Caenorhabditis elegans: one gene and its partner. The protein of the gene in region 1 interacts with the protein of each later gene in a biochemical or structural test. Each region holds a gene or a part of one and is shown on either strand. Other genes may lie near its edges. The genes, in order: atx-3 and cdc-48.1.

Evidence for each region.
Region 2: the proteins of atx-3 (region 1) and cdc-48.1 form a complex in vitro, tested with the Caenorhabditis elegans proteins (one study listed by BioGRID).

Annotation. Positions count from the first base shown.
Region 1 is NC_003283.11:15,574,716-15,579,173, reverse strand, and holds atx-3 (Ataxin-3 homolog), read left to right. Parts: upstream 1-1,730; 5' UTR 1,731-1,847; intron 1,848-2,286; 5' UTR 2,287-2,295; coding exon 2,296-2,463; intron 2,464-2,511; coding exon 2,512-2,657; intron 2,658-2,707; coding exon 2,708-2,862; intron 2,863-3,007; coding exon 3,008-3,492; 3' UTR 3,493-3,676; downstream 3,677-4,458. Other genes in the region: F28F8.7 (ELM2 domain-containing protein), read left to right, coding at 1-81; F28F8.9 (uncharacterized protein), read left to right, coding at 688-717, 769-954, 1,017-1,095, 1,142-1,263, 1,366-1,521; Coiled-coil domain-containing protein mdt-28, read left to right, coding at 3,778-3,835, 4,100-4,428. UniProt on the Caenorhabditis elegans protein: Acts as a chain editing deubiquitinating enzyme that binds and cleaves 'Lys-48'-linked polyubiquitin chains, with a preference for chains containing four or more ubiquitin molecules thereby modulating protein degradation by the ubiquitin-proteasome pathway.
Region 2 is NC_003280.10:10,559,265-10,565,274, forward strand, and holds cdc-48.1 (Transitional endoplasmic reticulum ATPase homolog 1), read right to left. Parts: upstream 4,144-6,010; 5' UTR 4,127-4,143; coding exon 3,929-4,126; intron 3,801-3,928; exon of another isoform or gene 3,688-3,800; intron 3,651-3,687; coding exon 2,823-3,650; intron 2,777-2,822; coding exon 1,704-2,776; intron 1,671-1,703; exon of another isoform or gene 1,453-1,670; intron 1,449-1,452; coding exon 1,254-1,448; intron 1,205-1,253; coding exon 1,069-1,204; 3' UTR 767-1,068; downstream 1-766. Other genes in the region: C06A1.6 (uncharacterized protein), read right to left, coding at 4,911-5,303, 5,347-5,412; C06A1.7 (uncharacterized protein), read left to right, coding at 5,648-5,698, 5,745-6,010. UniProt on the Caenorhabditis elegans protein: ATP-dependent chaperone which probably uses the energy provided by ATP hydrolysis to generate mechanical force to unfold substrate proteins, disassemble protein complexes, and disaggregate protein aggregates.

The DNA of each region.
Region 1 (4,458 bases):
CCAGGAGTAGCGGAAAAGCTCAAGACGATGATTGTTTCGGTGAAAAATTCGAAAAATTTCGAACGAGTTCAAAGACCATAAATCACATATCCTATTGCATTTTTTTCGGTTTAAAGTTACTTTGAAGGCGCAAACGTTATCAAAAGACGAAGATTTTATGAAAAAATTTTAAAAATAAATAAAATAAAAATATTTTCGAAATTCAGCAAAAAATAATGATGCAAAAATAAACCATTCGCTACGAGACCCATCGAATTGCAATGACGCTTGCGCCTTTGAAGTAACTGTATGTTTCCCTTATTTTTTTTAATTCCAAATCCCTGTACTTTGACTATAAATTTTTGTTGTTTTCTTACTTTGCACATTTCTCAATTCCCGAAGTTATTTCGACATTTTTAATTGCTTTCCCTTTTTTAAATTTAAACATTCCCCCGGTTCTCACTTACAAAAGTGATATTCTGTTGATATTCTTGTTTCTCGTTTCATAATGCTGGTTGAATTATCCAAAAACTCAACTTATACTTCAGTTTTCAGTTGAAAATATTGTTTTCTTTACCCAAATCGAGAGATTTCAGGTTTAATATTCGAATTAACCGCTAAAATTTGCTTGTGTAGATTTACGCTAAACAAGGCTCCGGCGCAACATTGGAGTGACGTCGGCAAATTTCTTCAGCGAAATTTTTTTTAATGGAAATAGATGAATTTTCTTGTCAACTTGTTCGTTTTGCCCCAGATTTCCTTCTTTACGCTTTAAATGACTTATTTCAGCTAAAAAAAATGGCCCGCTACCTTCTCGGCGCCACAATGTACGTGGAAGACGTGCTTCGAAGAGACGATTGGAGTTTAGAAGAAACAGAAAATGTGAAAAAATACTTCAAAAATGTGAAAAGCTTCAAAATTCCGAAGATTGAGAAACGAAAAGCCGAGGAATTTGATGAGCCATGCAGAAAGAGAGTAAGAATTTATTTTTCAACAGTTTTTTTCTATTTTTTACATATTTTTCAGTCAATTTGCAGTGCCGAGTCGAGAAGGAGAAGTTCGAAAATGATTTGCAGGCTGGCATCCGATTAATGACACTATTTGCAGGATTTGAAGGTAGAAAATTGAATTTTTCATTCATTTCCATATTTATTTGGCTTAGAAATCGACGAAAAAGCGCTGGAAAGGCTCACAGATTTGGCAAAACTTCGAATAATCACATCAGCAAGACAGATGGCGATTGCTCAGCGGAGACGGAAAGATGGCTTCGAAATTCCTTTTAAAGTAATATAAAAATTTAAAATTGAAGATTTTCTACAAAAAATGACACGTTGTATAAATTATTTCTCAATTTTTTACCAAAAATTATATCAAAAATCGTTACAGAGCCCCGTGGAATGGACGTTGAAGCTACAAGGCGTTCAAAAAGTTCTCGACATCAAAGAATGGTATGACGTCACGTATTGGACGAGATTTCGCGCATTGAAGATGCAATTAATCGACGAAAACGGAGACTTGAAGTCGCCGAAAAACCAGAACTAATTCTAATTTCATGTGACATATTTATTAACTTATTTATTGATTTTCTTCTGTGAATTTTGCATAAAACTAGCCAATTTCTCTCGATTTCATTGTAAAATGTCGTATATTTTTTCGAGGTTGTGTTTAAGCCTTATTATATTTACGATACGATTTTTATGACTTTTTCAATTTCAGAACAATATTCTGCAGAATACTTTGACTTTTTTCAGCTCCAAAACATACCGAAATTCTTATTTCAAGCTGAAATTCTCGAAAACCTTTTGAATAAAGTCAATAAAACGTAGAATAAACAACACGCGGTGTCGTTATTTCGGAGCATCGTTGAGGTTTTTTAATTTCGTTTTTTTTTCGATTTCATCAAATTTCACATTTTTCGTAGGTTGTCAAACGAAATTGGTTATTTTTGTTGAAAAACAAGTTATAAATTGACGTAATTTTATTAAAATAAGTTTATCCTGTAAAAATTCTAACAATATATCCGATGGTTTTGCAGTTTTGTGCTGGAGTTCCATGGAAAACATTAGAAGTCGTGTTGTTTTTTTCGAAAAATAACAGCTTGTTAACAATTCTTCGCGAATTTTCCTATAAAATCTCAATTTTTTTTTTAAACCTATCCGTCTTACAAAAAATATCGATTTTGGCATTCAGCATGAGGAATATTATTGTGAAATCGAAAAAATAAAACTATTTCCAAGTTTTCTTCTCCAAAATTTGAGGTGTTTTATTTATTTTCTCCATTCGTTTCCCTAATCCAAATTTTTCCAGCTCCAAAAAATGTCAAAAGACGATCCGATCAACTCCATCTTCTTCGAGCACCAGGAAGCTGCTCTTTGTGCTCAACACGCGCTGAATATGCTCCTACAAGATGCTCTGTACAAGTGGCAAGATCTCCGAGACTTGGCCATTCAGATGGATAAAATGGAACAACAAATTCTGGGAAATGTAATGGAAAATACGAAAAAATTTTAATTGAAATTCTTGATTTTTCAGGCAAACCCAACTCCGGGACGAAGTGAGAACATGAACGAAAGCGGCTACTTTTCAATTCAAGTTTTGGAGAAAGCACTTGAAACATTTAGCCTCAAGCTCACAAATATCGAAAATCCTGCGATGGTGGACTATAAAAATAATCCCTTGTACGAGTTACCATATAATTTACAAAAAAATTTCATAATTTCCAATTCAGAACCGCCCGTGCTTACATATGCAACCTCAGAGAGCACTGGTTTGTGCTCCGAAAATTCGGAAATCAATGGTTCGAGCTGAATTCGGTGAACCGTGGGCCCAAATTGCTCTCTGACACTTATGTTAGCATGTTCTTGCATCAAGTGTCGTCGGAAGGTATAAATTCATGAATTTTGAAGCTAAATTTTGATAATTAGAGCCAGATTTTTATTTATCCCTAAACTACAAGCTGTAGCGTTGATTTTTTTTTCTGAAAAAAAGTTCCAAAAATCGAAAATTATTTTAATTTATCAATTTTCAGGTTATTCAATCTTCGTGGTGCAGGGAGTTTTGCCAAGATCCGATGCAGACGATCTCATCTCGCTATGCCCAGTTGTACCGCCAAAAGTTACACCGAAAAAGGAGCAGAAGCTGGAGAAAGTCATGACAAAATTCTTCAATACCGTCGGAAAACGACTTGGCGGTGGAAGCGGTGCTCCTCCGGATTCTCAAGAAGAAAAAGATTTGGCGATAGCTTTTGCAATGTCTATGGAAACAAAGGATGGCTCTGAAGTGTCTCGAAGTTCCGCTGAAATCGATGAAGAAAATCTCAGAAAGGCGATTGAGCTGAGCCAGGCTCCAGGACCATCAGAACCGGCTGAGATACCGCTATTGACTCGTTCTCGATCTTCGACGCCGCCAGGAGCTTCAGAACCTTTTTCAAATGCCGAACAACAGCGCAGAGATCGACAAAAGTTTTTGGAGCGATTCGAAAAGAAGAAAGAAGAGAGGAACGATGAAAAATAACGATTTAATCGTAAATTTATTATTTGAATTCTATTATGTGAATATATTCTCGGCTTTTCCTGTATAATTCGATTATTCATTTCTCCCGATACTTGTATCCCCAAATACTTGGTGCTTATGTATGAACCGCTTTCAGACTATGTGATATATTATTTAGAATTAGATGAAATCTCCTTTTTTTCTGAATTTTGTTGCCCTTTTCAAAGTTATTCTGGCATTCCATGAGTATTACTACCTTCAATTTTAGAGTTTTTGGAAAAAATAATCATTTTTTTTAGATTGAAAATGTTCGAGGAATTGGATGCAGAGGACGGCGGAGAAGAACAGGAAATGCCAATGAATGGTGATTTTTGAAAATTCAAGAAATTTTTCGAATTCGAGCTTAAGCTAGTGCTCCACGAGGAGTAGGATTTCCCAGTTTTTTTACTCAAAAGAAGAAAATGGCAATATCTTAAGCTATTTTAATACAAAATTTGATAAAAATTGAATTTTTTTGTTAATTTTCTGATCATTTTTTCCCGATTTTCTCTGAAAAAAAAAACTTTAAAAAATTATTTGATGGCACCCTTGAGCCGAAATAATAAAAATATTTTACAAAATCTAATAGTTCCAGAATTCGGCGGCGGCGGTGAGGACATTGACGATATTCTCGGCGATGCTCCGGATCTTCCAGACGACGAATACTCGAATAGTGTTCCACAAGGAGCCGCTGATGGATCCATTGAAAACGACGAAAGACGAATGAGAAATGATGGAGCCGGCTCAACGAACGAGGATGACGAAGAGCCGATCGAGCCAACTTATCTGGGCGACGCAATCGATTCGCTTATGATGCATTGGTGTCAGCTGCTGACGAATGTATCGGTTAAAGCGCCCGTTCCACCACCATCAACACTTAATCATGTTAAGGAAGTCGCAGAAGTCTGCAGTAAACATGTACGTGGTGGGATTCTGGAAAAAATCTGA
Region 2 (6,010 bases), on another chromosome or scaffold:
GGTCACAAGATTCCCGGGCGACATTGGATGGCATGTGATCTCTGTCTCGCAGGCACCGTATTCAAAAGTGCATGCCGTTCAGTTGTGAAAAGACTGTTTTTTTGTGTCTCACGAGAAGAAATACGACTAAAGTAATGGAAAATAAATAGTAGAAATGCGACTTTCAGGCATGAAAAACCAATTTTTCTAGAAAAAAAAAACAAAAGCACTGTAGTGTGAATTTGTTCGTGACGGTGTTTCTTACAAAAATGTGCATATTTGCGGCAAATTTTGTGTTTTCAGATATTTTTAAGAATTTGAAAACTATTGGCACTTATCAGTTACTATCAATATTAATATCTGATCTAAAAGATTCATGTGACAGACAACGAGGACAAGGAATTTTTGAAAATTGGCCAGAAACGAGTTCAACAAGCTTGAAGATAAGCAACTATAGTACTCAATTCGGCATTTTCTTTGTTAAAAACCTCATGACTATGTACGAAATGCGTGCACTCCTATGAGTGTGGAGACAATATCGATGGAAAATGATATCAATGAATGAAAAAGCACTTCTACTTTCCAAAAGATCAAGAACAACTGGATCGCTAAATAGGTTTGATGATTGATATTAAAACCTGGTCCAAAAAATTACGTTAAACTTAGGCAACTTATCTTAAATACAGCTTCCCATTATCAACGGAACAACCAGTCATTGGTCATGAGACAATTCCACCTACACAATCACAAATAATAGTTTGAATATGGCAACACAATCGTACACAATTATGATTACAGACATCGTACATTTATATGTCAAAAACGGCAATACATACAAAACATTGGGAGGGATGCAAAAAAATAAATGGGATATACTTTTTGATCAACTGGGATGTAGGTATCTACAAATTTTTTCTTCTCGCGAAGATCATCCGTAACCATTAATTTCTAAAGCGAAAACATGGGCTCAATTACAATAAATAGTGGTAAATCGGGGGTTGGAAAGGGGTGAAATACGAGGTGAAAAAGTGGGTATGGGAGAAAATAAAACGAGTATCATACATAGACTCAGTAGATAAACTCAATACATTAGTTATAAAGGTCGTCATCATCCTGAGCAGGTACAGGGGCAGATGGGGCATCGCTTCCGCGTTGTTCTCCTGGGAATTTGAAGTTGTTTCCAAAGCCACGAGATTGTTGCAATGTTTGTGCAAACATTTCGTACCTACAAACATATTTTATAGACATACAATAAAACCATTATCAAAACTCACTTTCTGATGTCATTGTCTGTAACAGAGCGTCTGGCAAACTTCATGGCTTCCTCGAAGTGAGCACGAGTAATTTCTGGTACTGGATCAACTGCATCGTCTTCCATGAGCTCCTCACCGCGAGCTTGGCGATCTTGACGTTCCTTCTCAATCCGAATTTCCTTTTCGATCGATTCGCGAATAGCCAGCTTACACGCTCTGAAAATGTCATCGTTCACACCAGGAAAAATAGAATATCGGGGCCTTAGCGCGACTTTAGATACTCTAACTATTATAATTTACTGTGAGACGATTTTTTATATAGCACAAATATGACACTCGCGTAACCATGAACACAAAACTTGGCAGAATCTGAACTGCAAAACGCAGCTAAGAAGAGCCAAGAATGTGTAGATTTCGCAAGTTCTTAAGTTGTGCGTTTTGAACAAATTTTCAAATAATTAAATTACTCACCTCTGACAAATTTCGGTCAAATCGGCTCCAGAGAATCCAACAGTGTTTTTGGCCAAGAAGGTCAAGTCAAGATCCTTGGAGAGTGGGGTTTTACGAAGAGAAGCTTTCAAAATTTGGTGCCGAGAAGCTTCGTCTGGGAGTGGGATGTAGATAAGCTGATCAAGGCGACCTGGACGAAGAACAGCTGGATCAATGATATCAGGTCTGTTTGTAGCTCCGATGATGAACACATTTTTCTTCGCGTTCATTCCATCCATTTCGGTGAGCACTTGATTGATTACACGATCCGATGCACCTCCTCCATCACCGCCGGCGCCTCCACCTCTTGCCTTGGCAATCGAATCCAACTCATCGAAGAACAACACGCAAGGAGCAGCTGCACGAGCCTTGTCGAAGACATCACGGACGTTAGCTTCCGATTCTCCGAACCACATTGTGAGCAATTCTGGACCCTTGATGGAGATGAAATTGGCTTGACACTCGTTGGCAATTGCCTTGGCAAGAAGTGTCTTACCACATCCTGGTGGCCCATAGAACAAAACTCCTCTTGATGGCTGCATTCCAAACTTGAGATATTTTTCTGGGTGTTCCACTGGATACTGAACCAATTCTTGAAGTTCGCGCTTGACGTTTTGAAGACCTCCAATGTCGGACCAAGTTGTATTCGGAGTTTCGACAACAGCCTCGCGGAGAGCGGATGGGGAAGACTTTCCTTGAGCAAAACGGAAGTTTTCCATTGTGACAGCGAGTGAATTAAGAACCTCTGCATCAATTTGGTCATCTTCGAGATCAATGAGCTCCATCTTTTCACGAATCTGTTGAAGAGCGGCTTCCGAGCACAACGATGCCAAATCGGCACCAACGAATCCGTGACATTCATTTGCAATTTGTTCAAGATCAACATCATCCGCGAGCTTCATGTTTTTCGTGTGAATGCGCAGAATCTCAAGCCGGCCGACTGCATCTGGAATTCCGATATCGATTTCACGATCGAATCTTCCGAAGCGACGAAGAGCACCGTCAATCGAGTTTGGACGATTTGTTGCAGCAATGACCACAAGGTTAGAACGACCCTAAAATAATTATTATTATCGAATCATATAAAATTTAAAAGCATACCTTGACTCCATCCATAAGTGTAAGCAATTGAGAAACAATTCTGCGCTCAACTTCTCCATTGGTCTTCTCGCGTTTTGGTGCAATGGCGTCAATTTCGTCAATAAACAGAATAGCTGGTTGATTCTTCTCGCATTCTTCGAAAGCCTTACGAAGATTTGACTCGGATTCTCCAGACATCTTTGACATTACTTCAGGTCCGTTGATAAGGAAGAAGAAAGATCCGGTTTCATTAGCAACAGCACGTGCAATAAGAGTCTTTCCTGTGCCAGGTGGACCGAAGAGAAGAATTCCACGTGGTGGCTTGATACCAATAGCCTTGAAAAGTTGGGGATGTCGAAGTGGCAGTTCAACCATTTCCTTGATCTGAGCCAATTGCTTCCGAACTCCTCCCAAGTCATCATAACCAATATCATTCATGCTCTCTTCTTCTTCTTCTCTCTTGATCGGATCTCCTTCGTAGTGAATCATGGTATCAGGTGACACAATGCAGGCTGGAGCTGGCTCAGTTTCGACAACTTTGAATTCCACAGTTCTCATGGCAGCTTGAACAGTGAATATATCTCCCTTGTGAAGTGGGCGGTAAGCCTCCAGGAAGTATGGCTTGAGGAAAACATCGAACAAGTTTCCAGTGAGTCCTTCGATAGTGTCATCAATAGGGAGCACGTGAATGCGGGTTCCGTAACTGAGATTTGGAGCTGGCGTAATGCTCACGACGTCTCCGAGGCGAATACGAAGATTGTTGCGGACAACACGGTTCATGCGAACTTTCTCGTTTGGACAGGACTCATCAGAGACAATGATGGCGACAGATTCCTTTCGCTTCTTTCCCTGCAAAAATAATCATTAGAATCGAAAAATAAAATTTAATTGTGTGACAACCGTTTAAAAATCGAGATCAGCACCTTTGCGTGGTGTTAGGATTACGAAATACTTTGAAACGATTCGTTACTTGATCTATATCGCACAACTATGACACTCATAAAACCATCAGCAAATAAACAGTACTAGCTTCAAAACAGAACGTTTTTCAGCCTATATTGTAAATCACAGACATTACAAGTTCTTAAATTGTGCGTTTTAATCAAAAATTAAAAAGAAACACATACCTTCAGGATGACAGCATCTCCACGGAAAAGTCCCAGTTCGTCCATTTTAGCTTGGGAAACTGCGATGACGGAATTATCATCCTGCTCGGACTGATCGACGATCAAGCGATTCGGCTTTACCTTGTCCTTGAGAATAGCTGTCGACAGCTCATCATTTTTCTTCTCTTTTTCGCTTTGATGCGTTGGAACCGAGGCCATTATGTACAATTTAAGACCTAAAATAAGAAGAATGAGTGTCCAAAATGATAGTGGGAACGAAACTATAAAAGAAAATTGAGATTTTAAAAAAGTTCACGAAATTATTTCTAAAAACGACACAGATTTGAAAATTGTCATCATCCACGCATATAGAAGCGTGTTTTCAACAAGTGTACGCAAAAAGTGTTTGGTGATTCTGACGTTAGGGCGCGGTTGCTTTATAATTTTAGCGCGAAGTTTGAAAAGGATTTTCACTGTTCAAAAAATTTTAAAATTTCTAAATAACGAGACGTATTTGTAAATATTTGCGATGAAAAGCGTTGAAACTTCAAAAAAGTTCTTTGAAAACGGAAACGCAGTTTACAATTTTTTGAAATTTTTCGGAAAAAAGGAACTAGTAAATAAAATCTACCGTTTGCACGTTTGCGGTAATGTATGTAGCTGGGTCCAGGATGAAAATATGAAAAGGAAAAAAAGTGGACTGTAATGTAATGCTGGTTTGGAAAAATAACTGTTATTTGCAATAACGCACATCAGCGTTTGGGTCTCGAAACGATATGCCGTTAGTAAATGCAGCACTTTGTAGATCGATAAAAATGATTTGCAGCATCACCCGATCGATAGACGGAGAACGAAGAGATGTGAAACGAGACGAGAGGAGAATAGTCTTAAGATTTTGATTCTTGATAGTTTCCCAGATCTATGAATTTAATAAGTTGAATAATTTCCAAATTATTTATTCCCGATCGAGAATTAGAATAAATTAAACAAATAGATTAATGGATTAACATTTGCCATTGGATGGTCTTCTTTTGATTCCAAGAGCACGATTAGCTTCATCAATTTGAAGTTTTTGAAGGGAACGACGTTTACGACCTCCACCTCCACATCCACAGCATCCGCATCCGCAACCACATCCACAACAGCATGGTCTACAGCAGGTACAACATCTAGTACAGCAACAAGTTCTACAACAAGTACAACAACATTTGGGTCTACAACAGCAGCAGCATCTTGGTCTGCAACAGCAACATCCACATCCACCACCACCTCCTCCACATCCACAACATCCACAACATCCTCCATTTCTTTTAACACGAGAAGATCCGATAATTGATGTTTCAGATGAAATTATAGATATTTCTGTTGTTGATACTGGCAAAACTCCTGATTCAACCTATAAGTTTCTTAAATACGAGAACTAAATCTATTAATCTAACCTGTGAAATCGATACAATTGTATAAATCAGTACAACTAATGTAGATCCAATTATGAATTTGGTCATTTTGATCGAATAGAAACTGATGAATATCTCAATTTTATGGTGCTTTTATATAACTTTTCCATGATCCAAAGTGTCTTAGTTTTTGTGTTCAATTTCCATGACGCGGCTCGCGCGGAGAGATCACAAAAAATGGTTTCCGGCAAAAGTGTCAAATGAGAGACGACAAACACGTAAGAAGAAGAGGGTATTTAATGGATGGAAATTCGAAAACCATATCGAACGCTAATAATCTGAAATGAATAAGATCGTACTTCTGACTCTCTTTGCCCTTATTGCTATTTCACAGGTATCGGTAAAGGTTCTAAATGTTAGAAAACACAATACTATTATAGGTTGAATCAGGAGTTTTGCCAGTATCAACAACAGAAATATCTATAATTTCATCTGAAACATCAATTATCGGATCTTCTCGTGTTAAAAGAAATGGAGGATGTTGTGGATGTTGTGGATGTGGAGGAGGTGGTGGTGGATGTGGATGTTGCTGCTGCAGACCAAGATGCTGCTGCTGTTGTAGACCCAAATGTTGTTGTACTTGTTGTAGAACTTGTTGCTGTACTAGATGTTGTACCTGCTGTAGACCATGCTGTTGTGGATGTGG